4 linked regions of the Ovis aries genome follow. The protein of the gene in region 4 purifies or fractionates together with the protein of the main gene of each other region. This does not show direct contact. Links are inferred from orthologs where the notes say so. Each region holds a gene or a part of one and is shown on either strand. Other genes may lie near its edges.

What was found.
Region 1: the proteins of SMC1A (region 4) and PDS5B purify together in Homo sapiens (affinity purification with western blotting; 8 studies listed by BioGRID and IntAct, with this or other methods). This does not show direct contact. The link is inferred for Ovis aries from reciprocal best matches to the Homo sapiens genes SMC1A and PDS5B.
Region 2: the proteins of SMC1A (region 4) and NIPBL purify together in Homo sapiens (affinity purification with mass spectrometry; 3 studies listed by BioGRID and IntAct, with this or other methods). This does not show direct contact. The link is inferred for Ovis aries from reciprocal best matches to the Homo sapiens genes SMC1A and NIPBL.
Region 3: the proteins of SMC1A (region 4) and WAPL purify together in Homo sapiens (affinity purification with mass spectrometry; 7 studies listed by BioGRID and IntAct, with this or other methods). This does not show direct contact. The link is inferred for Ovis aries from reciprocal best matches to the Homo sapiens genes SMC1A and WAPL.

Annotation. Positions count from the first base shown.
Region 1 is NC_056063.1:28,614,950-28,622,087, reverse strand, and holds part of PDS5B (sister chromatid cohesion protein PDS5 homolog B), read left to right. Parts: intron 1-1,565; coding exon 1,566-2,005; intron 2,006-2,095; coding exon 2,096-2,206; coding exon of another isoform or gene 2,207-2,210; intron 2,211-5,279; coding exon 5,280-5,418; intron 5,419-6,806; coding exon 6,807-6,842; 3' UTR 6,843-7,138. UniProt on the Homo sapiens protein: Regulator of sister chromatid cohesion in mitosis which may stabilize cohesin complex association with chromatin. May couple sister chromatid cohesion during mitosis to DNA replication.
Region 2 is NC_056069.1:37,516,819-37,524,565, forward strand, and holds the start of NIPBL (nipped-B-like protein), read right to left. Parts: upstream 5,141-7,747; 5' UTR 4,729-5,140; intron 1-4,728. UniProt on the Homo sapiens protein: Plays an important role in the loading of the cohesin complex on to DNA. Forms a heterodimeric complex (also known as cohesin loading complex) with MAU2/SCC4 which mediates the loading of the cohesin complex onto chromatin.
Region 3 is NC_056078.1:40,194,701-40,201,838, forward strand, and holds part of WAPL (wings apart-like protein homolog), read right to left. Parts: intron 6,869-7,138; coding exon 6,792-6,868; intron 4,222-6,791; coding exon 4,046-4,221; intron 3,724-4,045; coding exon 3,608-3,723; intron 3,389-3,607; coding exon 3,224-3,388; intron 1,223-3,223; coding exon 1,015-1,222; intron 1-1,014. UniProt on the Homo sapiens protein: Regulator of sister chromatid cohesion in mitosis which negatively regulates cohesin association with chromatin. Involved in both sister chromatid cohesion during interphase and sister-chromatid resolution during early stages of mitosis.
Region 4 is NC_056080.1:51,279,186-51,286,323, forward strand, and holds part of SMC1A (structural maintenance of chromosomes protein 1A), read right to left. Parts: intron 6,617-7,138; coding exon 6,358-6,616; intron 6,276-6,357; coding exon 6,135-6,275; intron 4,213-6,134; coding exon 4,130-4,212; intron 3,976-4,129; coding exon 3,768-3,975; intron 2,604-3,767; coding exon 2,418-2,603; intron 2,325-2,417; coding exon 2,145-2,324; intron 2,046-2,144; coding exon 1,899-2,045; intron 1,800-1,898; coding exon 1,662-1,799; intron 695-1,661; coding exon 574-694; intron 480-573; coding exon of another isoform or gene 476-479; coding exon 373-475; intron 1-372. UniProt on the Homo sapiens protein: Involved in chromosome cohesion during cell cycle and in DNA repair. Central component of cohesin complex. The cohesin complex is required for the cohesion of sister chromatids after DNA replication.

The sequences.
Region 1 (7,138 bases), on a different chromosome or scaffold from region 4:
ACAGTGAGATCTCTCTGGTGTCTCTTTTCCTAAGGACACTTATCCCATCATGAGGGCCCCACCCTCATGACTTTAGAATTACCTCCCAAAGACCCCATATCCAAAGAATATCAGAATACTTCAGCTTGTGAATTTTGTGGGAACACAATTCAGTTCACAACAAACAGGAATATTTGTTTGTTATACACGAAATACACATGAAAGTGTAGAATATTGTAGATTAAAACTCAGACTCCAGTAAACAGACAAGGGGCATAATTAGGCAGTTCACAGATAGGAAACACAAATGACTAATTAAACGTGAAGAATTATAAGTAATCTGATAATTTTTGTAGTCACTGATGTTTTAAGAATGTAAATTGGAACAAACCATTTGGAAATTAACTTAGTACTACAAACATGGCTCAGATGGTAAAGTGTCTGTCTACGATGCAGGAGACCCGGGTTCGATCCCTGGGTCAGGAAGATCCACTGGAGAAGGTAATGGCAACCCACTCCAGTACTATTGCCTGGAAAATCCCATGAACAGGGTAGCCTGGTAGGCTACAGTCCATGGGGTCGCAAAGAGTCGAACACGACTGAGCAACTTCACTTCACTTCTTCAAACCTATGGAGAAAATTACAAAGTCATGCATACTCTTCCTTGTTTCTTTGAAGAATTTCTTTAAAGAATCGCCATCTACGAGTCAAGGCTTAAATTCTGTGACTGTAGACTGGGATTTTATGTTAAATTTGGAAGTCACTGATTTTTGTATTGTTGTATCTGGGAAAAAGCAATATCTTTGATTCAGAAATGTTTTCAGAATTTTTAATAAATGATGAATATGTTTAACTTTGTATCTTACAACCTCCACTTTTGAAATAAAATAGTTCTTTTATGATGTGTATGCATTATGCATTACCTAGTTAATATTTATGTCTTATTATATACACTGAGTGGTAAAATTAGGATTACTTAAATTGACTGTCAAATGCAGATGCACTATACTCAGTGTAGTTGTCTATTATTTAAGCATTGAATTTGGCTTTTTTTCTTTTTTTTTAGTAGACCAGATGGATTTTTTTTTAAGAAAATATATTGATTTTATTACTGAAACAGTATAGACATTTGTGAAATATTTGAAAGTAAGTTGCCAATTAAAACTTGGTAGAGACAGCAGATACTAATAAGAACTGCAATTCTTCATAATGAGTACTGAACTATGACTCCTTTTAAGTGTTGAATTTAGAATGTTCTTTTTAATGGACTAGCTCTTCATCAAAAATTTATCATCTATTCATCTACTGAGAGGTTTCATCTGAGGCTCTTTAGCTAGAGTAAGAATAAAAATTTACCCTCTTACCCCCAGATTATGTTTTATATTAGAAAATTGTTAATAAAAGCAAGTAGGTAGTTATGGTTCCGACATGCTTAAAACCTCTAGACCTTATTAGGTACATTCTTATAACTGAAGTAGATAACAGATTTTGTTCATTTGTTTATTCTTGAACATATACACACACACACACACACACAAATAATGTATACTAAGTTTTATATTTGAAATCGTGGCTTTTATTCCTAGTCTGAATTGGACAAACCTAGAAGCCGGAAAAAGACACCTGTAACAGATTCAGAAGAGAAATTAGGCATGGATGACCTTTCCAAGTTGGTACAGGAACAGAAACCTAAAGGCAGTCAGCGTGGACGAAAGAGAGGCCATACAGCTTCAGAGTCAGACGAACAGCAGTGGCCTGAGGAAAAGAGGCTCAAAGAAGATATACTAGAAAATGAGGATGAACAGAACAGTCCACCAAAAAAAGGTAAACGAGGCCGACCACCAAAACCTCTTGGTGGGGGTACACCCAAAGAAGAGCCAACGATGAAAACATCCAAAAAAGGAAGCAAAAAAAAATCTGGACCTTCAACAGCAGAAGAGGAGGAGGAAGAAGAAAGACAAAGTGGAAACACAGAGCAGAAGTCAAAAAGTAAACAGCACCGGCCTTCAAGGAGAGCACAGCAGAGGTAAGTGTGTGCCACTCTGAACTGCATGCATTCAGTTATTGTACTGTAAATCATAACTTGATGCTGTCTGCATCTGGGTCTTTCCCAAAGCAGAGCAGAGTCTCCAGAAACTAGTGCAGTTGAATCCACACAGTCCACACCACAGAAAGGACGAGGAAGACCATCAAAAACACCATCACCATCACAACCCCCCAAAAATGTGTAAGTTGTAAATAATATTAAGTTTCAAACCAGTTTCAAATTATTTTGCAAGAGTTCATAAATTTCTAAGTATAACAATACATAGTGAAAGTGTTCGTTGCTCAGTCGTGTCCAGCTCTTCGTTACCCCTTGGACTGTAGCCCACCAGGCTCCCTTGTCCATTCTCCAAGGAAGAATTCTCCAGGCAAGAATCCTGGAGTGGGTTGCCATTCCCTTCTCCAGGAGATCTTCCTGACCTAAGAATCGAACGAGATCTCCTACACTGCAGGCAGATTCTTTACTGTCTGAGCCACCCATATATTTAGCCCATTATACTAGGTAAGATAAAATTTTTGTAAACTTACCTAGGTGATTAATATCCCAATCATCCTTTGGCGACATTTGTACATTTTTATAGGCTTTAGAGAAATGGTTATAAACAAATACCAAATAGTTGATTATTTCCAGTACACACTTTATGGTACCTAAAGAGACGATGGCGTATCTTTAAATAATCACGCATAGATCACATTTTCTTGTTACTCCACACCACAGGTTTTCCATCTTTCCTCAGCAGCTTTAAAAAAATAGCTTATACACTTTTGCTTTCATTCTTTGATCAGTGTAGGAAAGTAACAGGCATCATTTTTCCTAAGTACGTTGGTGGAAATTATCACATAGTGATCTCAAGCTTTTGATGTCTTGATATTGTTTTCTAAGTAAATTAACACATCTGTATCTACATATAGATAGTTTTGGATGTTCACACAAGTACATGTTTATAGGAGAGTTATAGTAACAAATCTGTGTCCAAAATTATTAAAGTGGCAGGGGCATCAATGTTGTAATTTATAAATTTGGCACTTTTTTCCTCATTTAAAGCAAAAACAGAGTAGCATGTTGTCTGTCAGAAATTTTACAGTTTTTCTGAAAGTAATCTCATACTTCAGTGGCTTGACTTTTCAGTTGCCAGCACACCTTGGTTAAACACTCAGTTCATAGTTTCCTGTTCCTGTGTATTCCATGGGAAAAGTTACTGAGTGTCTAGCCAGTACTTCCCACCTTTTTCCATTTAATTTTTCCTTCACGTAAAAAGTAAAGGTAAGTACATTTTTTCGGCAGCTTTATAAATGTGTTTGTATGCAACCATGGAAAAATAACTTAAAAAAAATTCCTAAGATAGCCTAAATTTCAATGATTAACTTTATAACAAAATAACAGGGTAAATATCTTTCATGCTTATAACTTTAATTTATATTGGGGCATCATAAAATTAAGGGCTTATATGATTATCATTTTGTCTTGTAAAATTACACAAGTCCTCCTCATGGGAATGTTTTTAATGAAGCAAGTATTTTCTGTTAAAAAAATCAACACACAGAGAGAGAGAGTCTATGTCCTATCTTAACAGCCTAACTTCTTTTTACTGGAAGGCCCCTCTTTAGAGGTAGTATGATCACATATGTTACTATTTGCTTGTTTTCTTGTTCTGATCTTAGTGGAATTGAGCAAGATTATATTATTTTCCCTGTATTTTCTTCTGTTAATTCTGAAAAACTAAATCAAGTAAATTTGAGAAAATTGGTTTGAGTACAGATTAAACAGTATGTATATTCAGTTGCTTATAGAAATGATGAGGAAATTCTAAATTAAATACCAACAGATATATACGTTTAATTAAATGGTGGTATCTGTTACATATTTTTGAGTATCTTCTATGTGTCAGAGAGTACTAGGTGCTAAGGAATATAGTGACAGAAAACAGACATCCTTATAGTGCTTAGCATCTAAAAGGGAATGTAGTTATTAAATAATCACACATGAATGTGAAATAATAAGTTGTGAAATGTACCTTGGAGGACAAAGTTAGGGTGCTGTAAGAGAGTGTAATGAGAGGGCTGGGGAACTGGGGAAGTTTTCTCTTTGGAAAGTTGATTCCTTGAGAACAAGTTGATTCCTCAAGTTGATTCCTTGAGAACAGTAGGACTTAGACTTCTAGAGAGTAGGGAGAGGAACATTTCAAGTGGAGGGGACATTGTTTTGGAAGGTGCTGAAGTGGGAACAATCTTGACAAATTCAGAGAGCCGAAGGAAGGCAAAGTTTTTGCTGTATTGCAGTTTCAGGGAATTGGGGTATAGAAAGAGATGAGAACTGAAAGTAGGCAAGGCCAGTCTAAAGGTCCTTATGTACTTATCAAGGAGGTTAATGCAGTTACTCTCAGTACAGTAGGGGCCTCTCTCAGGGGCATGACATCAGCTGTTTTACATTTTTAAAAGATTACTTAGAGGCAAGAGATGAGAATGGTTTAGAAATATGTATGATGTAACAGTGAAGATGGAGAGAGTGAATGGATTTGATATTTCTTTACAAGTAGAATCTTTGGGTCAGACAAAGAATTGCACACTATTAAGGAAGACTCTAAATTTTCTGGTTTCAGCAACTCAGTAGACATAGATGCCTTTTACAGACTTGGGAAAGGAAGAGTAGACTTTGGGTTATATATTAAAATCCTTTATGGCGTTGGTTTCAGTCACCCTGACTTTTGTTATTTGTTAGATCTTTTTATATGTAACAATCTAGGGTTAAGTACTGGTTTAGGGTTTAGAATGTAAGAAAAATATTTCTTGGCTTACACGGTAATTGAGGGTAAAAATGATAATAAAGGACAGTCTATTAAGTAATTAAAGCATTTCCTCTTATGAAGTAAAGTAGAAAGTGAAGTTGCTCATTCATTTCCGACTCTTCGTGACCCCATGGAGTCCATGGGAATTCTCCAGGCCAGAATACTGGGGGGGCGGGGGGGTAGCCATTTCCTTCTCCAGGGGATCTTCCCAACCCAGGAATTGAACCCAGGTCTCCTGCATTCATTCATCTTTACCGTCTGAGCCACCAAGGAAGCTCAAGAATTCTGGAGTGGGTAGCCTGTCCCTTCGCCAGGGGATCTTCCCAACCCAGGAATCAAACCCCTGATTCTCCTGCCTTGCAGGCAGATTCTTAACCAGCTGAGTGGTATACCAGGGAAGGCCTCTTATGAAGGTAAACTACCACTTAAAGATCACAATGTTCATTTTATTTTACCTGTGTTTTACTCTAGCCGTGTAGGACGCTCTAAACAAGCAGCTACTAAAGAAAATGACTCAAGTGAAGAAATAGATGTGTTTCAGGGTAGCTCTCCTGTCAATGATGAAAATCCACAGGAAGAAACAGAAGAAGATGAAGTCTCTACAGTAAATGTATGTGTTTTTTAAAGTTCCATGTGTGATAGTATGGAGTATATTCAGTAGAATTAGAGTTGATAAGTGGTCAGATTCTTTTAGCACTTGCTGTTACTTAATAATTCTGAATATTTATGTATATATTTTTTCATTTGTTTGTAGTGTGTTAGTTCATCTATCAGCTTAGATTGTGGAGAAAATATCATTTATGAAAACCTGAAACCAAGTGAGAATAATAGACATAGCCTAGTGAAAGTGTAAATGTCCAGTGTACAACTGAATACAGAGAAGAGCAAGTGATAGTCTCAGGACGACACCACATGCACTTAAGTTTTCCCAGTATCTGTTACATATACTCTTGGTGATATTTCGTATAAGTTTTTTGTTTGAGTTTCTCAGTAGCAACTAGAATTTAGTCAGTCATGTAGAATAAAGTCATGTCTTCAAATAAAATTAGCGTTTGGAATTCATAAAAATTGGCAATAGACCTTTCTTTCACAAAAGTAGGAATGTGATGCCTCCCAAGATACTTTTTAAAATAATGAATGGCTGCCTGTCACAGCTCCGATTTTTCTCTTTGGAAGAAATATAATTGATGCGTCTAAGTAAGAGCTGTGTATTGCTAATATTCTTGCTGAATCTGTGGATCAGCTCAGCTAGTTTCAGTTTTTTGTTTGAGAAACGTGTGTCCTGTGATCAAGCCCCAGAGTTGACCCCTGCCTCTCTGTCTTATTTAATATAATCAGCACCTCTGTCTGCATCAGGATTCATTTATCTGAATTAGTTGAAGACCAGAGGAAAAAAATATGTTGAATTATGGTCTCAAACTAGTTTGGCTTATAAAGGGTTTTTATGGGGGGAAGGTATAAAAATAAGGCTGATGTGTACATAGTAACTGATGGCTTCATTAAAGGAAAACTAAACTATAAGTTAATTACATTAAAATCCTGTTCTGTTTGTGTTCCTCTTCATAATACTAAACTTATTTTATCTGAAATTTTATGTTTTCATTAGTACTTGCCACATTTTTTATATCTTTTTGATAGTTATTATGATCCAAACTCAATAAGTAACTTCTGAGAAAGGTAGCTATACGCCTAAGTTCATAAATACCAGATGTTTTCCTTTATTAAAGACACATAAATAACATGGTGATGTTTGTCATTGTTTTTTGCCATTGACATTGACTTCTGTTCATTTCTCTTTAAAATTATTAAACAGAAAAGTAAAATATTTTCTCTTTTGCTAATCCTGGGAAAGGCTATTTATAAGCATTCATGTATGTGATGCTAAGGCTGAAAGTTAATGTAGGAGAAAGATTTTAAGAAAGGACTATCAGGAACGTGTTAAGAATAATAATTGGTTATAAAACAATGGTAATTACACCTGTTGATGTTTCTTTCAAGGTGCGGCGGCGAGGTTCTAAAAGAGAAAGGCGATGAACAGATGCCGTTAATAACTTTCTGTGTGAGAGCTTTGAAAAAAATGGTTATCAAGCTTCAGGCTGAGTAAAGCCTTTGATGCACAAAATGGGACTGCTGAAGAGTGGACAGTTGGACCTTACTCTGATGACCTCATGTGTCTGTGGTCACACGCTTTAGCCATGCGCATGGTGACAACATTGACTGTGGAGTCTTATGAAAGAGTCTAATGTGCGATGGCTATGTAGACATAAACTAAAGAAGAAACTTGTAAATATATTTTTCTTTTTTTTTAAATGTTTCTGACTTCTAAAGTG
Region 2 (7,747 bases), on a different chromosome or scaffold from region 4:
AATTACTATTAATGTATATAGCACATACAGTCTGAATTTTATTTTAGTTCTTTGCCTACAGTACATAATTTCCTTGACTACATGACTTTAAAGTATTGAATTAACTGAGGAACTAAAGGATAATATTAAGAATTCACTAAAACTAGAAATGTGGAATCCTAAATCCTTAAGAAACAATATAAATCAGAGTAATTATAAGACAACAGACAATTTTCTGACATTTCTAGCCTCAGTTTTTTCATCTGTAAATGGTGGGTAATAACTGTTTCTATTTCATGAGCTTGGGGAAGAATTAGAGTGGGGTCACCCATATGTAACACAATTCCTGGCAAATAATAAGCCCTCAAAATCTTATCCAGTGGGCAATTCTGTATCAACAAATGATCTCTTCTAGTAAATCACTTTGGGAATAGAAAGGAACCTGCCTTAAAATATAATGCAATCTGACAAAACTCAATTCATTAAAATTGACTCCAGATTTGATGCTTAAAATTGCTTTTAAATCAAGTAGAAACGCTAATATTCCACTCTAGTCATTAAAAAATTGAATAAAAATAGAACTTTAAGGAGTCATTATTTACTACAAATATAGTCAATTCACTTACACTCCTGAACAGAGACATGTAAATAAACTCAACCACTCAAACAGCCAACATATATACACAAAGGGAAGATATCTAACAGAAAAGTACTATTTTCATACCAGGAAAATACAACCAAAAGATAGGTATCATATCTCTCTATGGAGATGAGAAAAGCACCTTGGACTCAGATAATCGGGAAAAAAAAAAAATCACAGATGGTATCAGTGTCAGCACGGAGCAATACCTAGCTTCATGACCAAAGCTCACACATTACTTAAAGCAACATAATCTAATAAGAAACTATTAAGAGTCAGAGAAATACCCTAATCTCCCACTGAGTCACTAAGTGAATCTACACAAATCACGTGGCCTGAGTTTTTTCATCAAAAAGTTGAAATCACACTGATCATTCATCTTGCAGGGGAATGAGAATATTTATGAATGAACTCAGGTCACCTTGAAAAAGAACCAATGTAAAAATAGGAAGAATAATTACTGACAACTGCTAAAAATAGAAAAAGAACTTCCTTCAAAAAGCATATTTTAAAATGATTTTTAAAAGCTATATGAGACCATACATTACCACCAAAGCCAACTTAGTATCTTAGGATATTAAAATAAACATGTCAACTAACCACTTAGTTACTAGCTCCTGGTCAGTAATTTCCTATTTATTTTATAGCAAATAAACATGATAAACAGAACTGAAGTTACACATGTATGAAAAGAATTTTTATTTAACTCAGCCTTCTCAATCACTTTATATAAAACTGAAATCTTACATCATCTTAAAAATTTCAGAATTACTTACAAAGTATGCTTTTCCTAATAAGCAACGGAGTGGGGAAATTTAAATGAAACTGTGTAAAACTGAAACTCTTTAGTTTTTATCTACTTTTTATTATTAATGTTTACATCTTATTTTGGGAGAGTAAAAATACTACCATAGATCATACCAAAATATAACGCAGATGTATTCAAATGTTTAGACAGCAGTCTGATAGTGAACTGGTCACCAAAAAATTAAATATGAAATTAGTTAAGGAAGTCTTAGAAAATACATGCTTAAGTTGGGTATCGTGGCTCCAAAGAAAGAAAGGTTCACGTCTGAATTGGTACAGCTTTTGCTCATATTATTTTTGAGATTCAATAGTGATTATTATGCAGAAAACCAAAACTAAGTTTACTACCATACTAAAAACTCTCACTTTTCATCCCCAAAGAGAAATTGAAATTTCTTCAAATACAAGTCTTTTCTTCCTAAAGGTGGATAGTACTATAATGATCCCTAGCACAGGTTCAAAAAGCTTTCGAACTACAGTAAACAAATTTGTTGAATGGCTTTCAAAAGGAAACATCCAATATACTCATCTCAAAATACTAGAAGTAATTATTTACTATTCAACTTTAATTTACTAGACTTTCATGACATACTTCAAAACTATTTTCAAGTAATTATTGTAAGTTACTAGTAACTTCGAAGACTCAAAAGAAACAATAAATCATACTGCTGAAATTTCCTCTAGGTATACCATAAAGTATTTACCCAAATAATATAACTAGCACTGTAAGATCTGTGGAATACTTGGAGCTGTTTCCTTCCACTGAATTTAAAAAAAAGAAAAAGAAATACAAGATTAGCCCTGGTGAGTATTCCAACCAATACAGGGGAGTAGAGCAGACTATTCATAATCTCTAGGGAAACAAATTATTCTTTCCAACTAAGTTATCAAGGATGTAAAGTTCAAGTTTAGGTTTTACTGAAGTTTCGCAATATCTTCTCCTTTAAAAATAACCTATTTACCTGGTTTGGACCAAACAAAATATTTCCAACCTACTTAAAAGTAGTATTTATGCTAGCTGAATGAAAGGTATCATACAACCTGTATTACTTACGGATTACCAAATATGTAGAATTAGGAAAATAAGGTCTAATAAGAACTAATTCACTATAATGCCAAAGTCACAACAAAAAAATCAATCACACAGACATATGACATACTGATTCAAACAAACATGTGTAAGAAAGCTCCCTTTATAACTATAAAACGCCAAAGATAAGTTTTTCCTGTTGATGAAAACTAAGCAAGCAGAACTCCACTTTCCATTACCTTTAACTGAAGGATGTTCATCCCTTGACATACACCTCAGTAGTTTATTTAAATAAAGTTGTAAAGACAATCACAGGTTCTTATCAGGGCCTTTTTCAACATTAATATTGAAGCCCTTACCCCGCCCCCTCACCCTCAAATCCTCCGCTTAAGAAATGAACTGTTCCTACCTTCCGTATTCTCCTCTCCGCCCCCAGCCCCAAACCCTTTCCCAGTCCCCATTTGCGTGCCCCCCACCCAGTGTAGGCCTGAGGCCCTGTAGCAAACAGTGTCTAACAGGAGCAGGCAGCACAAAGACAGGAATGGGAGATTAGTGGGAGGGAGGGAGGCCGGGATTGGGGCTCAGCAGGAGCTTCAGGCTTTTTAAAATTCAAACTGCTCCCTGACCAATACAAATCACGGACACGCTACTGACTACTACACGGATTTATAGCATTAAAAACATGCCTAGTACGTGACAGCTATATTAACTTCACTCTTTCTAACATTTATCCATACGTTTGCAGGAAACGTGGAAGAATTTACTTTAAGCAAAAGGCTAAACTCAAAAATCACCTCCAGAAAAGTTACTTGTTCTACGATGACATAATAATTTAATGAGAGGCAAAAAATTTGAACCAACGTAACACTCACCAATAAAACAAGGGACTTTGTTGATCGGTGTTGCTTCATTTTAACCAATGAAAGTTTTCCTTCAGTGAATATGAGACAAAGTATCAAAACAGTCTAACCCAGGAACAATTATTTTTCTATGCAACTTGTATGGCTGAGCACTTTTAAACTGGCTTTTCCCTTATACCAACCTACATTATCAACGCCTCCACAAACAAGCTCCAAGCACTTAACTTACTTGTGAGCTAGAATTTAAGATAAAATTGATATTTTTCTCCAGCATTTACAGATACATTTGACCTATTAAAATGACACCTCTCTCATTACACAGTCAAACATCATGGGCACAAACAGCCAATGACAATCCTGGGACCTCAAGAAGATCTGCCCTGACATGAAAGGATGGCACCTTTCACATTTTTTTTTAACCTCCCAGGGATTTTAAGCATAACTTCATTTCTGTCCTTTTAAAGGAAATTGGATGTACTTATATCTCACCGCAATTCTCAGAACATTTAAAAACCTTTTTAAGCTTCTACACGTTTAGATCAGGAAGTACCTGAGTGTTTCACGTATAATCAGTTAAAACTGTCCTTATATAACGCACACAAATATAAAGAGGCAGGGTAAACCTGTCAAGTACTTTACACTTGTCTCTGAATAAAAAGTCCATGTGCAACACACTGTCAAACAACAACATAAAAGCGCTTTGCGTGGGTGGGGGGGTCATATGCAGTGTCTACTATACTATAGTTTTCTGTATTAAATATTCATGTGGACGATTTAATTTTCCTTAAAAAGAAAATGAGTCTTTATTAACTTTCCAACGTCCAAACAAGTTCTACACAGGAAAAGAATTACCACTGGATCCGTGTCTGAGTATTTACATTTGTCTCACTAACTGAAACTACTTCCTCCCTTCATGGGGTCACAGGGGGAAGAAGGGGGGTTGTTTGTTTCACTGGGACGTTCCCCACTCCCGGACCAGGAAAGTTGTAAATATGGGGACGGAGAGGGCACATTTGCTGTTAGTTGTATTGTTTCCGCCTCCTCACTAGCTACAGCTCTTCTCCCGGGCGAGGCCTGTCACCGACCAGCAGTAGCTCCGCTCAGCCCGGAGCTCTCCTAATCCCCGAGCTCAAGTAGATTCCGCTGGCCCGCGGCCTGCACTCTCCGCCGGGCCTACGCCTCCCCGGCCGCCCGGCAGGAGCCCAGTCCCCGCCACCGGAGCCGGCCGGGAGAGGGTACAAAACCACCGCCACCCAGGGCGGCTGCCACCAGAGAGGAGCGAACTCTAGACTCGCCCGTGGAGGAGACCTGGGGCCGCTAAGGAAACGGCGGGGAGGGGAGCGAGGAGGAGAGACGCTGAGGACCTGGCGCCGCCGCCGCCGCCGCCGCCGAAATAAAGAGCAGGAATTTACCTGGGCGAATCGGCGTCTGAATCCAAGGGGAGGCCGAGGCCGCTGTGGCGAGAGACTATAATCCGGGCCGGGAGGGGGGGTGGCTACGGCTCCTCTTCCGTCTCCTCAGTGCGGGGAACATGTAGAGCCGGGGGGAGACCAGCCGAGAAGACAAATCGCTGCTTCTTCTTCCTCCTCCTCCTCCTTCTCCCACATAGAAACACTCACAAACACCCGACCAGGGGCCCGAGCTACCGGGGGGGCATCGCCGCCGGCCCGGGAACCAATCCTCCAGTCGGCGGGGGCGTCCCTCCCTGCGGCTTGGTGGTGTCGGGTGAGTCGGTACCGACGGAGGGAGGGGGGGGAGGGCGGGGGGGGAAGGAGCCCTGTGTGTGTCTCTCTCTCGTTCCGTCTCTCCCTCTCAGAACAAAATGCCGACCGGAAGTGCAGCTGCAGGAATGACTCCCTCCGCCGGCGCCAAACACTAACAACCACCCCCTCTTCCCCACTCCACTTCCGCCACCGCCGCGCCGCCGCCGCCACTTGGGCTCGCGTCTTCGGCCTCGCCGCACTGCACAGCCCGTGCCGCTCAGCTCCGCACCGCACCCGAGGCCCGGAGGCGGCCGGCAGCGAGGCGGCGGGGGCCTCTCCTCCGCGCCCTTCTCGTCGGGGCGGCTGTGGACGTTGCCTTTTAGTGTCGATCCTGCGGAGCGGCGTTTTCGCTGTGGCACGAGCGGGCCAGGTCTTCCTGGTCTTTATTTTCCTGGAGGCCGGCCGGAACGGGGCCTGAGCCTCGGTGGTGGTCGTATGCGTGGGGGGCGCTCAGGCCGGGACCGGCTCGCAGACCACGCACGCCGCCCCAGCTGCTCGTCATTAGCTCTCGGGAGCCGAGCTCGGGGCGGCCACGTAGAGGACGCCCGCGATCGGACGGCGACCGAGCATTTTTTAAATGGTGTCCCTGCAGCCGGGTGGATGGATGTATCGTATTGTACACTCTTCTCTCTTTTTGAGAGGCCGGACTTTACTCCCATCTCTGCATTATTTCTGCGGAGTAAGGACGCAACCCTTGAAGGAGACGAAGATTCTCAGCTGGATTGAATTGGAATCGTGTTTGTAATGCATTTATTTCTGGAAATATGTGGTCTTTTCTGGGCTCGCTTTTTGTTGATGGTGGTTTTGGCTCTTGCCTAGCAGTCGGGATAAAGGCCTGTAGGCGACGCTGTTCGAGCGAGGAGCCGGCCCGCGGTGGGCCCGGAGCGCGCCCCATTCTAGGTGTGGGTGGAGCCGAGCGCGCGGGGAGAGCCGGCGGACTGCGGGCCGGGCCGATTTCAGACATCGTTTTCCTCTTTACGCTCGAAACAGAGGTCCTGACCAAGGCTGGAGTACAGATGCGATTCTGTGTACAGTACCGAGCCTTCTGTAGTCTCTTACTGAAACACCTGAAATAACTTTATCATACAGTTCACTATTAAGTTTACTATTTACTTCTGTAAATATAGAGGGTGCTATTCTTCAGGTAAAAGTGCCTAGGTAAGCGGATTTTATTCAAATGGGACGAAATTTGTGTTATATTATCGTGAGTTTACTTAAGTTGTATGTGAACTGTATTTGTCTGTGTACCAGTACGCTGAAAGTTAAACAGGCAAATTTGCCCGCGGGCCATTCCTTTTGCTTCAGAGATCGCTACAAGGACTAAATCAGATCTTACGCGTCTCTCGAGCCGGCATTTGCTTAGCCGGGAGTAAAAGCCGAAGTCTTGACCACGGCCTGAAGGCGCTGCGCGCGGTGGGGCGCGGGGAGTCGCCTCGGTTGCGGAGCCAGCAGGGTGTCTGCTCCGCCTTCTACCAAGCTCCTTCCACGAGTGCCACAGAGTTTCTCTCTTACTTTCAGGGTTTTGCTCGGCTGTCTCCTCGGGGCTCTGTGGCCTCTCTTTAAACTGGACGTTCCCGATTCCCTCCTCATTTTTATCCTGCAGGCATTCTACTTATCATGCTTGTTTATCTCATCTGTACCGATAGAATAATGTAAGCTCCAGGAGGGCAAGGTCCTCCCCCCTCGCCGCCCCAAACTGGAGTTTTGTGTAGAAAATACTGCCTGACACACAGTATTTGCTTAATAGCTGGATAATGAATGAACGACGATTATAAGGGCCTTGACCTCACCCCACACATACACCCGTTTCTGAACTCTATTCCTTACGTGTATATATACTTATATGCTACAGAGAACTTTTATGAAAAGTGTGTGAAAACAAAAGAAAACCGGGGGGGAAAGTGCAAGTTTATTACAAAGTTCTAGGAAACGGCACTACTTCTAGACATTGAAAGCCCCCTAGAAGCACCAGAAGCCCACAAACGAGTGATAGTTACATGTTTTTAGATAAATGGGCTTGCTCGAGGACAGTACATTATGTGATCCATTGGATTATGAGTATATTCATATTGCTTTCCTCTCTTCCTCAATCAAACTGCATTCTTCATCCATTCTGTACTCTTTCTTGAAAACCATGCTATTTTCACTAAGTTAAAGTATGTGAAAATTTGGTTGGCTTAGTCCAAATCCAGCACTGCTGTAGAAATTCATTCAGCAAGTACATATCGAGCACAAAATATATTCCGCCCGGCACAATGATTCAAAAGGTGCTGTGTTTCTGAGGCTTAAAGGACCACATATGGCTACTTTGGTTACTACTAAATTATGCTGTCAAGCAAAGCAAACGCTAGTTAGATTTATTTTTACAGTTTCATTCTGAAGAAAAGGTTCAGTGAAAGCTGAGGTCAGGCTTAGTTTGGATATTTTAATTCACCTTTTAGTTTGCTGTTCATTTACTTACTTTATTATGATAAGTACCACGTATACCAATAAGTTAACTGGTAAATTGATTTTTGAAAACTGAAACATGTAGAATTTTTACTTACTAGTGGTTGGATGAACAAGACTTTAAAATATATGCTATAAGCCTTTGGGAATTATTTCATGTATGGAAATTTTGGACAAGAAAAGACAATCTTGATAAGTATTTCATAACCATTAATACAAT
Region 3 (7,138 bases), on a different chromosome or scaffold from region 4:
AAAAACTACAACAACAAAAGCACCTAGGAAACCAGCAACTGTGTCATCTTTACTTCAAAACTGCTAAACGTTGATAATGGTGCTGCTGCTGCTGCTGCTGCTAAGTCACTTCAGTCATGTCCGACTCTGTGCGACCCCATAGACGGGAGCCCACTAGGCTCCCCCATCCCTGGGATTCTCTAGGCAAGAACACTGGAGTGAGTTTCCATTTCCTTCTCCAATGCATGAAAGTGAAAAGTGAAAGTGAAGTCGCTCAGTCGTGTCCGACTCTTTGCAACCCCATGGACTACAGCCTACCAGGCTCCTCCGCCCATGGGATTTTCCAAGAAAGAATACTGGAGTTGGGTGCCATCGCTTTCTCTGGATAATGGTGCTAGGAAGATGTAATATCCACACAAATTAACCAAAAAAAAAAACAAAAACAAAAACAAAACCCACAAATGGTAGAGGGAGCTTAATATAAAAGCTAAAACCATAAAACCCTTAGAAGAAAACAGAGGACTAAATATTTGTGCCCTTGGGTTAGGAAATGGTTTCTTAGACACACCACCAGGACCACAAAAGACAATATAAAAAATAGGTAAGTTAGACTTTATCAAATCTAAAGCTTCACCTTCAAGAAGACAACTCATAGAATTTATCTGCAAACCAGGTACTTGATAAGAATCGAGGCTCTAAAAATTCTACTCAATAACAACAAAAGATAACCCAATTTAAAATATGGGCAAAATATCAAAACTGTAAACACCCTTAGGAGTCATGTTACTTGGTTGCTTCTCTTCACAGACAGTAAAGAGAGGCCCAGGGAGGAAACACAGACCTTCCAACAGTACATACACGCCACTCTCACCGCTAGGTGAAGACTGCTACCAAACAGCAAAGCCTGTGTGCACTCAACCAGAGAGGCCATAAAACAGCAAGATTATGACCACACATGAAGTAAAAAAATGTTTTACAGGGGAAAAAACACACACACACATCTTTTAAAAAATAAAGCAGTCAAAGAAAACATACCTTTATTGAGGTCGAGTTCTTCATCATCCTCCTCCTTCTTGTTTTTCTCTTCTGCACCATCAGTCTTCTCGGTTGATACCCACTGTATTTCTCCACTTGTTTCTTGCCACTCTCCACTCTTATCATGCTGAGTGGTGGGCGCATCTTTGATCAATTCATCTGTTTTACTTTCTGCCAACTGTGCTGCTCGTTCTCGCTCAAGGAACAGCTGATAAACATTTTTGAAGGTCATTAAAAAGGGATCACCTACCAACATCAATGTACCCAAATATAAGGCTCCATTTGCTTTTAAACATCATTAACCCTAAGAAGCATACTGTCTGGTAAAAAGGCTACACATCAGTAAAAGCCCTAGCTCTACATCCAACTGAAGACAAAACAAAACTATAAATGCTGCTGGGATTCAATTAAGTAAATTATCTACTGATGATGCATGCATTCTATTTTTAAGAATGAAAATCTCAACACTTTCCTTTAATTTGGATAATAACGGGCAGGAAGTTCAAGCAAAAATTACAAATTAAAAGTTAAAATTAAAACAGTTAAAAATTCTTTAAATCCAAGCAGCCTGGATAAATTAACTGGAAGGAAGAGAGGACACTGGATAAAGTTTCACAATATTTGGGGAAAACAAATGGCTTCTTTAAAAGAAATTTAAAGAAATAAAAAACAAAGAAAGTAGAAAACAAGTTCTCAGAGAAAGGCAGAACTAAATCTCAACTGCTATATTAACAATAAAAGTATAGTGCTTGCTTCAGCAACACATATAACAGAGAATATTAGCATGGTCCCTGTGCAAAGATGACACTGATATACAGACTTGTTGCCTACAGGGAGGGGGATGGGAGAGGGAAGGACTAGGAGTTTGGGGTTAACAGGTGCAAACTATTACATACAGAATGGATGGATACAAGGTCCTACTCCACAGCACAGGGAACTAAATTCACTGTGATGGGATAAGCCATAAGGGAAAAGAATATGAAGAAGAATGCATATGTATAGCTGAGTCACTTTGCTGTGCAGCAGAAATTAACACTGCAGATCAACAACATTTCAATTAAAAAAATCCAAGTACAATTGTCAATGGAAGTATATACCAAAAAAGTCTAAAAAGGAAACATACTAAAAACTCTTGCCTTCACTTACTTATTTCCCTGTGCTGGCACAAAGTTGAATATACAGAAAGCATTTCATATATTTGCTGATGTGATCTGGAGAAACCCTAAATTACTGATGACAGCTATCAGAAAACTAAATGCCAAGTAGATCTCAAAAACTTGCTGAAATATACAGAAGAATGGTATGTAAACTCTAATACCCTTAAGAAAGTAAATGTATTTTATAGTTTTTTCAGTTTGACTTCTAATTTAGTAAATATCAACAGATAAAGCACACATAAACAAAGCTCTTTGGAGTCCCCAGTAATTGTTAAGAGTATAAAGGGGGGCGGGCCAAAAAAAAAAAAAAAAAAAGAGTATAAAGAAGTCCTGAGATCAAAATGTTTGAAAAGAGACTGACAGGCATCTAGTTGCAGATTATTTCCTGAAAACACAGTTCACAAGCACTTCTAGTTTCAAAAAGACCAAAAGGATTAAAGGTTAGCTAAAATTTCAGAAAAATTGAAAAGGATGGTTCATTATTACTGTCACTTAAGGAAATGACAAAAGTAGCTTGCAAAAAGATAAAAACTGTAATGCCAGCATTGTCGAAAAAACCCCAAAAACTCACATATAGTTTTGGGAGGAAGTATAAACAAGAGGAAAGGGAGTGTTTGGGGTGGGGTGAGTTGGGGACATCAGTTTTAACATATTAGTACACATTCTAACAAGTTAGGAAATTACTCCAAAGATATACATACTTTGAAAAGTATGTCCCAGTATTCAGATGCACACAGTCCTGGGCACAGATCAGACCAGTAAATGCTAGAGGACTAAGGCTAGAAGTTAATACCTAATTTGTTGTTAATGATCTATCTTTGATTCATAAACAAATGGGCCTTGTTTCTGCTTTTTGCTAACAGTGTCTAATGAGTGACTGTCATAGCTGAAAACAGCGGAGTAAATGAAGTAATGGTACACATTCTAACCTCTCACTGAACTGGTAAAAATATCAGAGGGAGAGAGGAGGCTGAAGGGAGACAGAAGATGCAAGTGATCAAGAACTTGGACAGATGCAACGAACAAAGGGTTATGGTTAAACTGTTGCTTACCTGCACTAAAGCCTGAACTGCATGAACTTGTCCAGCTATCCTTAAACTATCATCTCCTTCTCCACTACAGAAGGAAGAATCAAAAGAACATGATGTTTCCATGTTGACAAGACAGTGCCGATTTCGAGCACTATATTCCACTAGATTTATCAGTAGACCTAAACCCTACAAAAATGAAAACATGCATGTTACCACAGGTGAGGATTAAAAGCAAATGAACACAATATGCGTAACCCTTCATGGCAGCCAGAAAGCAAGCCAGTGCTCGACCATCTACACGGTTAAACCCAGTATATAAAATGATCACCTTCCCAATCAAAGACGTCGTTTGCATCATCTTACTAGATCAAGTATGCATGTAAGCAACAAGCCACTTAGACTCACCAGCACTCGAATATCGAATCTCTGCTCCTGAGGTAGGTACTTTGGAACCTGAAGCACGCAGTTCATGGCTGTGCCAATCAAGCCATCCTGCTCTCCTGTTTTGGTGCTGCCCCATTCTGAAGTGGGGAATGGGCAAAGTGTGAAATTGTGACCAACTATTAACACGAATATTAAAAGTTAAAAACACATAGCTTAAAAAAGAATAGTCATTTCTTTATTAAAATATATTGTTGACTGTAATATTTCTAAGCCAAGCCACAAGGCAGGTTCTAAAAATATCAGCTCTTAAAAGCAGTTAAATCTATACATGAATAAGTGAGTTACGTGACAGCAATTTAAAAACCACTACACTGAGAGAAGAAACAAGGGGATTGGCTTATTTTTGCATGTGACACTGTACAGTCTATTAATGAGAATATATGCAGAAGCGTGGCTTACCATTGTCATTGGTTAAGTTGAGCAGCACCCCAATGATGGCTCTCATGCAGTCTTCCACTGCTTTGCCCACGTGGTTAGTTACATTCTGCTGAGGCAGAGGCTTACTGTCAGGTAAGCATATACTGTTCTCAGCACGGTTATACTGCTTAATCAGCTCTTCACAATGTTGTAATGCTCTTAAGAGAAGACAAAATATAGACTATTACGCTCAACAAAAATAGTTATATTAAGAACTTCTACTGACTTGGACCTTAATGCTTTAAATCTGTCATAAAGGCTGTCAAATTAATCTTTTTCTACTCAGATGTTATGTGAACTATTTAATCATGTATCAAACATGTCTGATATCACATTAGGTGCTAAATTTTATTTTGGGAAAACTTGTTAATATAAATTTTTCTAAGCAAAGTGAAAATTATAAACTCGATGTAAAAGTTTATACTACCAACAGCTGTCCCCAATTTTTCCAATCTCTCCAACATAACAAACCTACTACCCCACCTCACCCAAGGTAAAACCATTAAAAGCCAGCACTGGACACTTCTGAATTTCATTTAGATGTTTGTCCTTTAGAATGTGAACTCTCAGCAGGTAGAGGATATTATTTATATTACTATTACATAATAACTGTATAAACAGATACTAAATACTTCATAAACATTAGAACATTTTTAAAAACATGAGGTCATTTAACTGACATGTTTGTCTTCTGGCAGTCATGCAAGGGTATTAGCTACATCTAAGGATTCATAAGATACTACCCAAAGTAACAAAGAAATGTAATCTTTAAGTGGTTCTAGTATTTCTGAGACTCTTTAAATCACTGAGTCCATTAACTTAATATCTATGAGATAATGATGAAATACACAAATTGTGAGTTGATTCTTTATGTATACCATGCAAAATCCTTAAAACTACTATGTCTAATTCCCCTCTAGATGCTTCTTAAAAAAAACTCTCTAATTAGGAAGGTATTCGTGTCTAACCTAAAATAATGTGTTCAGATGTTTGGGGATGTTCACCAGGATTACCATGCTGTTACTGTTAACTGCCTAAGTAGCACTGAACTAAATCTGTTGGGAGGTGAGAAGAGACAGTAAGGGTGTATTGTTTAATTACTCAATATACCATCCTTGCATTTATCAGCATTCTGCTGAAAGCTTCAGAAAGTCTGAGGAGTGGTCTTTCACAAACATCCAATTCTAATGTCTACTGACACAAGTTCCTAATCACAAAAGGTTCCTAATGTTTTAGAACGCATTTGTCAGGAGTCATTAAGCATATCGGAGACATTTTAAAAATAAGATACAAATTTAACTTGCACAAATATTCTTTGGTGAGAAAGTAAAACATAGTAATAGAACAACTAGAACACATACCTTAAAGGTATTAAGTATGACACAGAATTCACAAATACAGGATGGAGGGAAAGCCTACAGACTAAAACAAGAATATTGGGAAGTAGAGACTATTAGAAATTTGGGATTATGGGAAAAACTGAATACTGACTGGACTTATAATATGAAGCAATTGCTAATTTTTAAGAGATGAAAATGCTATTTTGGTTATATTTTTTATTTTTATTTTTTTCCTCAATAATTACTTTTTTTTTTCATTTTATTTTTTTTAATATATTTTTTAAAGAGTCCTCTTTTCTCAAGTATTTATGGATGGAACTATATGAAATCTGTAATCTGCTCCAAAATAATATAGAGGGCAGAATGGATAAGGTTATATATACATGGTAACATGACTGGCCAATGTTTGATGATCACATTCAAGCTGCATGTACACTGGGGCTTATCATATTATTGTCTACTCTTATCTCTGTTTGAAATTCTCCAAAACAAGAAGTTAAAACACAGATAAACTTGAGTCAGGCTGTAGAGGGCCTTTGATACTAAGGACTTTGGACATACATCCAAAGACAAGAAATCACACAGATTTGGAGTTTGGGATTATTTTTACAAAACAAAAATCTGAGGAAGGTTAACCCACTGTGGTGTAACGTTGGACAGGCTAGAGGCCAGAGTACCAGGGCAGAGATATCAACAACTAAACAGACTTTTTAGTAAGAAGTTGCTGTTAATAAGCTAGAACCAAGACTGGAGACATACTTGGAAACTTTATACACACTGAGGTGATATCATTAGCCCAGTGTCAAGAACGCTGGGCAGAGAGTGTGAAATGAAGGAAGCTACATATAGATCTGGGAAAATAGGTATAAATAAACAGCAGAAAGCAGCTAGTAAAATTCATTTACAATAAAAATAAGGACTAATGCTTACTACTATATGCCAAGCATTATTTCAGGCTTTACATATGTATATTAACTCCTTCTATATATTGTACATAATCTATATTATATATAATATACAAATGATATTTTAAAATCTTTTTTAGAATTAAAATATTATTTAAAATATGTATCATATATAACTTAAAATATATTAACATACACACTTAATTCTTTTACTGCAACAACCTCGGGTAGGTAGATACAATTATTACCCTCCTTCTGTAAGTTCAGAGCTATTATAGGGCTGATGTTCTGAAGTTAAGATCCAAACTCAAGTCATTCTGGCTTCAGAATCTGTACTCCTAACTTTTATACCTTACTGCACTGCTTCTTGTTCACAAAACTGGACAGACAGAAGTACTTTATGGAGAAAGGAGACAATGGCACTTCCTTTAGAGTCAATCCAAATGCTTTAAATAAACAGCATGACATTTCAGAAGAACTTACTTAGCTGATGAAACAATGAGTTGTGAATCTTTATAGGCAATCAAGTAGCTTTGATTCTCTGGATTATGCACTGTTACCTAAAAGGGAAAATTTTGAAATTTTGTGGCAATACATAACATTCATTCATTCACACACAACACAAAGCGCTCTAAAAGACATAAAGATGAGGAAAAATTAGCCCTTGTTGTCTAAAGGGAGAAACAACCCACATGTTCTAAATTTAAAATAACAGAGCTACTGCTTTATTACAAAATCAAAACACCACTGTTATAACTGCTTGCTCACCATTAATATATTCTGTACTACACATTCATTGTAATGAACTACCAAGCACTTTAAATGTCAGA
Region 4 (7,138 bases):
TAAGTATTATGCTAAATACTTTATAAGGATTAAGCCCAACCTCTGATCTACCTGACAATCTATGAGATAGGTATCATTATTATCCTATCTGACACATAAGGAAACTGGGGCTTAGAGAGGTCATTATCCAAGACAAATGAACCTTGGAGCTGGGATTTTAATCCAGGTAAACCATGTTTAAAGCTGGCACTCTTAATCCCGATACTGTGACACGTGCTCCCCTGATGTCCCTGTTCTTTAAAGGTGACTACAATAAATGTCCATCATTCTAAAAGCTGCTCCTTACCTTATGATGGTATTTGACTCCCCAGATGTCAGGCTAGGGGCTCAAGGATACCTCAATCTCCCCCTTCCACCCAGACTTCCACCTACCGCTTCTTCGCGATTTCATTCTGCCGCTTCACCTTCTCTTCTTCAAACTCCCGGATATTGCGCACACCAATCTCCCGACAAAACTCCTCAAATACCTCATCCTCTACCTAAGGAGAGAAGCAAGGGAGAGAAAAGGCCCTTTGGGTCAGAAGGCTGCTTCCAATCCTATTCCTGCCGGTGCTGGGCAGGTACATCCTCTACCAACCTGGTTCATCTTCTCCTTTAAGTCTTTCATTTCCCTCTCTCGGCTCTGGATGATCCTCTTGATATCATTGATTCGAGGCCCAAAGTTGGCTAGCTCACTCTCCAGCTTGGACTTTTCCTGTAAGAAATGGAATTGAGAAGACAAAAGAGACCAGGATCCTTAGAAAAAAAGAGCCACCCTGTGTGTACCAGTCCCATGGACAAAAAGGGCTAACTCTCCACACACTGAGAACCTGACTTAGCACTACTCCACTCAAGGCTGCATCATCTCTCACTTGAACCATCATATGGCTTCCTTCCCTGGCCTCCAGTCTGTCAGGTTCAATCCAAAAGGCTGGGCACACAATAAACATTGTTATTTACAGGTCGACACTTTCCTCATCTGTAACCCCTGGGGCCAGGTGTGTCTTGGAATTTAGACTTTTTGATTTTAGAAAAATGACATACATATTACATAACACCTCCAGAGTGGTCTGGGGAAGCACCCATAATCAAACACATTAATATAGCTAGAAAAGTACCTCCACTCACAGGGACTGAAATATCTGTAGCTCACTTTCAAAACTCAGAAGCAACTCAAATATTTGCTGAATGAATTAATTAGGTTAATAGCACCTAACATTTACTGAACATTCACTTGGTACAAGCAATCAGTCTAAATACTTCACATGTATTAACTCATTCAATCTGTGCAAGGACCCTATCCTTCTACAGATTATTTACAGATTAAGATGAAAAAATGGACACTGAGAGGTTTACAAAAACAAGAATGTTCTTTGAGTATCTGCAATACATGCATTTGAAAAAGACATTTCTGGAATATATTTTTCAAAAAACTCTTACAAACCAATATAAAAATGATCAAAGGATTTGAACATTGAGAGGTTTAGTAACTTGCCTAATATAGAGCCAAGTCCTAAACCCCTGACTGTCTAACTCAATGCCATCTATTCCTGGTTTCCAGGAACAGACTGGGAGGAAAGAGGGAAGAGGGACAACTTCCCCACCCCTAGAACTGAGCGTAGAGCAGGAATATGAGGATGGCCATTGGCCATGGCCCAACAGGGCTGAAAGCCAGGTCCCACCTGCAGATTAAGGGCCAGATGCCGTGTCTTGGTCTGTTCTAGGTCACTCTGTGAGTACTTGAGCCGCATCTGCAGTCCGTGGGCCTGAGACTGCACCTGACGTAGTTCTGCCTCTTTTCGCTTTGCCTTCATCTGCTCCTGAAGTGGACAAGAGGGAAAGGCTAGGTGGTAAGAAGGTGGCCGGCTGGCCTGGGCTTAGGACTCCCATTCCTAGGGACAGCCCTGCCTGTGGCTTACCTTCAGCTCTTCTGTCAACCGCTCCTTTTTCTCTTTCAACTTGTCTACTGCTTTCTCATCCCAGCGTCGGGCCTTGGCCTTCAGGTCACTGGCCCCGCCAGAGATCACCCCTGACTTCTGGAACAGGGTCCCATCCAGTGCCACTGTCTAAATACAGCAGGGAAAAGAGAGGAGGGGAGAGAAGCTGAACAAAGGAATCGCCAATACTAAGCCTATCCAGCTACAATGTGGCAAGGGAATCCATACCTTGTGGCGCTGGTGGCCTCCAAAGGCAATGCGGCGGGCATCCTCCACATTGTCACAGACAAGGGCATTGCCACAAGCATACTGCAGGGCCTTTTTGATGTGAGGTGGCTCATAGCGAATCACATCAATCACCAGCTTTGCCCCCTTCAGCTCCCGGAGTTTCTCATCTGTAGGTTTTACCTATGAGAAAAAGCTTAGTTAAGTGGCTGAACATGGAGGGCTAGGAGGAGCAGCCCTCTCACACTGCCCTGACCCCATCACCACCAGCCTCACCTCCAGGTAATCAAGAGGCAAGAAGGTTTCAGGCTCCCCACGCTGCTCCTTGATATACTGAATGCAGTCCCGGCCTGTCTTCTCTGAGTCCACAATTATAGCATCCATGTTCTTGCCCAAAACCTTGGTTACTGCAATCTGATACTTCTTTTGTGTGGGCTGGCAGAGGTCAATGAGGCGGCCGTACTAAGGAAAGTCAGAAGAGTGAATGAAGCATGAAGTTTTTGAGAGCTGGCTCAGGAACCCTAACTCCTAGCTTAGAAGGGGGATAGCAGGTCAGAATCTCTATCAGGAGCACAGCTCCCAAACTATGGGGAAAAGGCCTACTCTGGACTTCCCTGGTGGCTCAGATGGTAAAGCGTCTGTCTACAAAGAGGGAGACCCGGGTTTGATCCCTGGGTTGGGAAGATCCCCTGGAGAAGGAAATGGCAATTCACTCCAGGACTATTGCCTGGAAAATCCCATGGACAGAGGAGCCTGGTAGGCTACAGTCCATGGGGTCGCAAAGAGTCGGACATGACTGAGCGACTTCACTTCACTGGCCCCAAAGCAACAACAACTTCAGGCAGTCATGTCTGAATCCAGAATCATCTTTCTAAACCTCACTTTTACCATTTCATAGACCACTGGCACCACAGGCATTATGCAACTTAATTTGGTTCCACAAATAAAGAGCACAATAAATGCAACGCGCTTGAATCATCCCACATTACATTTATTGTGCATTTTATTTCTATTATTATTACATCAGCTCCACCTCAGATCATCAGGCATTAGATCCTGGAGGTTGGGGACCCCTGATCTACGGAAATGATCAAGAAATATTTGTAGAACCCAATTAAGTTGAACCCAGGGATGGAATTACAGCAATAGAGGGATAATATTCAGGGAATCTGGAAACTCAGGATTTCATTCAAGAGGCCAAAAGAACCTAGTAAATGAGCTGACTGTTATATGCTTAAGGAGCTCACACTGAAGCCTGCACAAAGCTACTGATACATCCTGGGAACTAATTCCTGCCCTGCAGCCCCTTCCCTTTCCCAAAGGCCTCTTCACTTTCTCCACCTCCCATAAAGGAGTGGACACAAGCAAGACAAAACTTTCAGAAAGATACAACTGGTGCAATGAAAAGAACACAAGGTTAAGAGTAAGAACAAGTTGGATTTGAATTGCAGTTCTTATACATATAAGCTATGCTGTTTTGAGCAAGTCATTCAACCTCTCTGACCCTGTTTTCCCCAGGTGTAAAAATGGAATTAGCAATCTGTCCTCATGGGGCTGCTGGGAAAATTATCTGACAGTGAGTATGAAAGACAGTGGTCAGGAAATGAATTCCCTTTCGACTCTTACCACAGAACCAGGGTACAGGCGCTTGATGCTTTCCATAATTTCTGCCTTTCGCTGTTGGCGGCTGCTCTCTTGGCGGTCGATGCGGGCATCCCCCAGCTGCTCCATTACCTGGTTCAGCTCCTTATTAATCTCATCAATACGCCGCTTGGCCATCTCCACCTCCTCTGTCAGCTCCCCCTCTAGTTTCTTCTGCTCCTCTAGAGACTGCCTACAAAGTGAGGAAATACTGGGGTTACCCTGGCTGGCCAGAAAATATTCCTGGCCGAGAGGGATGATGAGGGTCCTTCCTGGGGAGGGGCAGGACAGGTAGGGTTCACAAGAACAGGCCTGGAGATAAGAGGGAATGTTACAAAGCCACATACTTGCTGGTTGTGATGTATTCCTCTAGTTTCTCAATCCGTTTCTGATTCTCTTCAATCTCCCGCAGCTTTTGCTTGATCTTGGCCTGGGAGAGAGACAAAAACACTACATCACCATAGGCTGAGCAAGTTAAGGCCAAGACCATAGAGTCCTGGCTCATCCCCCATATGCCTAATCATTCTAACAGCCTAACAATCACAGACAATCTGTCACTAGTATAAGAGGCCTATTAAAAATCGGATATAAACAGTGTTCAGTGTGCCTCTGCTAACTGATGGGGCCACCATGGGCCCTATGAGACCCTCTCATAGGTGTTCTACCCAGCCTGGAACATCTTCCTCACCAAGCAGGCAGGCTCAAACCAAGACAAAGTAAAGCTTTCTGGGCCTTTCTGCACTTCTGCTTTATCATCTATAAAATGCAGGTAACTTCCACTTCATAGAATACACATTAAGTGCTTAACATGTATTAGCCACTAATTCTGTGTGTGTGTGCACTCAATTGCTCAGTCATGTCCTACTCTTTGCGGCCCCATGGACTCTAGTGTACCAGGCTCCTGTTCATGGAATTTGCCAGGCAAGAATACTGGAATGCGTTGCCATTTCCTACTCCAGAGGATCTTTCCGACCCAGGGATTGAACGCTTATCTCCTGAATTGGCAGGTGGATTCTTTACTACTAGCATACCTGGGAAGCCCCTAGCTATTAATTAATGCCTAATACCTTCTTTTAAACATTTAAAACTGCTTAGCACAACGCCCGGAGAAGGCAATGGCAACCCACTCCAGCACTCTTGCCTGGAAAATCCCATGGACGGAGGAGCCTGGTGGGCTGCAGTCCATGGGGTCGCTAAGAGTTGGACACGACTGAATGACTTCACTTTCACTTTTCACTTTCATGCATTGGAGAAGGAAATGGCAACCCACTTCAGTATTCTTGCCTGGAGAATCCCAGGGACGGTGGAGCCTTGTGGGCTGCTGTCTATGGGGCCGCACACAGTCGGACATGACTGAAGTGACTTAGCAGCAGCAGCAGCAGCAGCACCACAATGCCTGGAACATTGTAGGCTCTTGGAATATTATAACAACTTTCCATCATTCCTATTATTTTACTATGATTGTTATTAGGAAGGTGGTAAGTGAAATATACTTGAAAGTGTGGGCTTCCGGGACTTCCCTGGTGGTCCAGTGGCTAGGACTCTATCCTTCTACTGCAGGGGGTGCAGATTCAACCCCTGGTCAGAGAACTAAGATTCCACATGCCACAAGGTGCAGCCAAAAAAAAACCAAAAAAGTGTGGGCTACACTGCCCAGGTTCATATCCCAGTTCTGCCAGTTAATAACCTTAGGCAGGGACCTCCCTGGTAGTCCCATGGTTAAGAATTCACCTGCCAATGCAGGGGACAGAGGTTTGATCCCTGGTCCAGAAGATCCCACATGCTGCAGAGCAAGTAAGCCTATGTTCCACAACTACTGAGCCAGCTTTCTGGAGCCCAAGAGCCACAGTTATTGAAGCCCGTGGGCCCGAGAGCCTGTGCGCCACAAAAAGAGAAGCCACTGCAATGAGAAGTCTGAGCACTGCAACTAGAGAAAGCCTGCAAGCAGCAACTAAAAACCAGGACAGCCAAAAACAAAACAGACAAATAAATAAATATTTTAAAAGATGACTGCATATATGTAAAAACAGTGCCTAGCACACAGTAAGAGCTTGCCTTTTGTTGTTTAGTCGCTATGTCCAACTCTTTTGAGATCCCATGGACTGTAGCCCGCCAGGCTCCTCTGTCCATGGAATTTCCCAGGCAAGAATACTAGAATGGGTTGCCATTTCCTTCTCCAGGAGAATGTTCCCAGGGACCAAACCTGTGTCTCCTGCATTGGCAGGCAGATTCTTTACCACTGAGCCACCAGAGAAGCCCCATGCTAGATGTTAACTATGGTCATTACTGTTAAGACTACTGTTACTTCCTTTTCTCTGGACCATCACCCCTAATCTTGTAAGGCATGCCCACCTCTGTCTCTACTTTCTTCCGTTCTTCCAGATCCAGCCGGTCCTGGTCAGCCTTCTGGTCTCGATTAAACTTCTCCAGCTCCTGGGCCAGGGTAGCTGCTCTCTTGCTGGCTTCTTCTTTCAACCGGTGATATTTCTTCACCTGTGTCAGGGACAGGGGCAACCAAATCAGTCCTGTCAGCCTCGCAATCTATTTGCCCATCCCCGCACCCCTCAGAGCTTACCTGATTCTCCTCCAAGGTCAAATCTCTGCCCTGACTCTGACTTTCCTCTTCCATCCGTTCCTCAAACTCCTGCCGAGCTTTCTCCACTGACAGCATCTCCTTTTCCAGCTCATCCATGTCACCTTTACGCTTCTTATAATGCTTCTGAGCATTCTGTAGCGACTTTTTGGCTGCTTCCAGCTTCTTGATTTTGTGGGAAGTATTTTCCTTGGCCTTGATGTACTGAGGCCGCTTCTGGTTCAGCTCTGAGTCCTTCTCCCTTTCACCAGAGGGGAGGGGGAACCAATTAGCTCAGTGGGAGAAGGGAGGGTTCCAAGGCTTTTTAATCCAAAGGGGGATTAGGCGCTTCCCTTCCAAGCCTCAGGGAAGTGCCTAAAAGAACAGGGCCGATGCCCCACAGATCCTGTGATGGCTTCAGCCTGGCATTCCAGCCACTCTAGAAGGTAAAGCTACCACCCCTGCCTCAACCTTAGCCAGGCCAGACCTCTCGGTAACAACTCCCAAGAGTACCCTGTGTTCACATAACTGTTCCCCATCTGATCTAACCTTTTCAAATTTCTGTTCTTTGACCTTGAAGCTCCAGTTTTCCTCTTCAAGGAAGGGACTATTAGTCACGAATGGCTTCCCATCACTTCTTTTTGGCAAAGCCACCACCCTTTTCAAGTTCTCCTTTTCCGAGTACCTATCTACATGGAGTCTGAGTACTTAAATACTATCTGTCTAACATGCAAGTCAAGAAATGTGCCTGATTCTAGCCAAAGCCAAGTCAAGGGGAAGATGC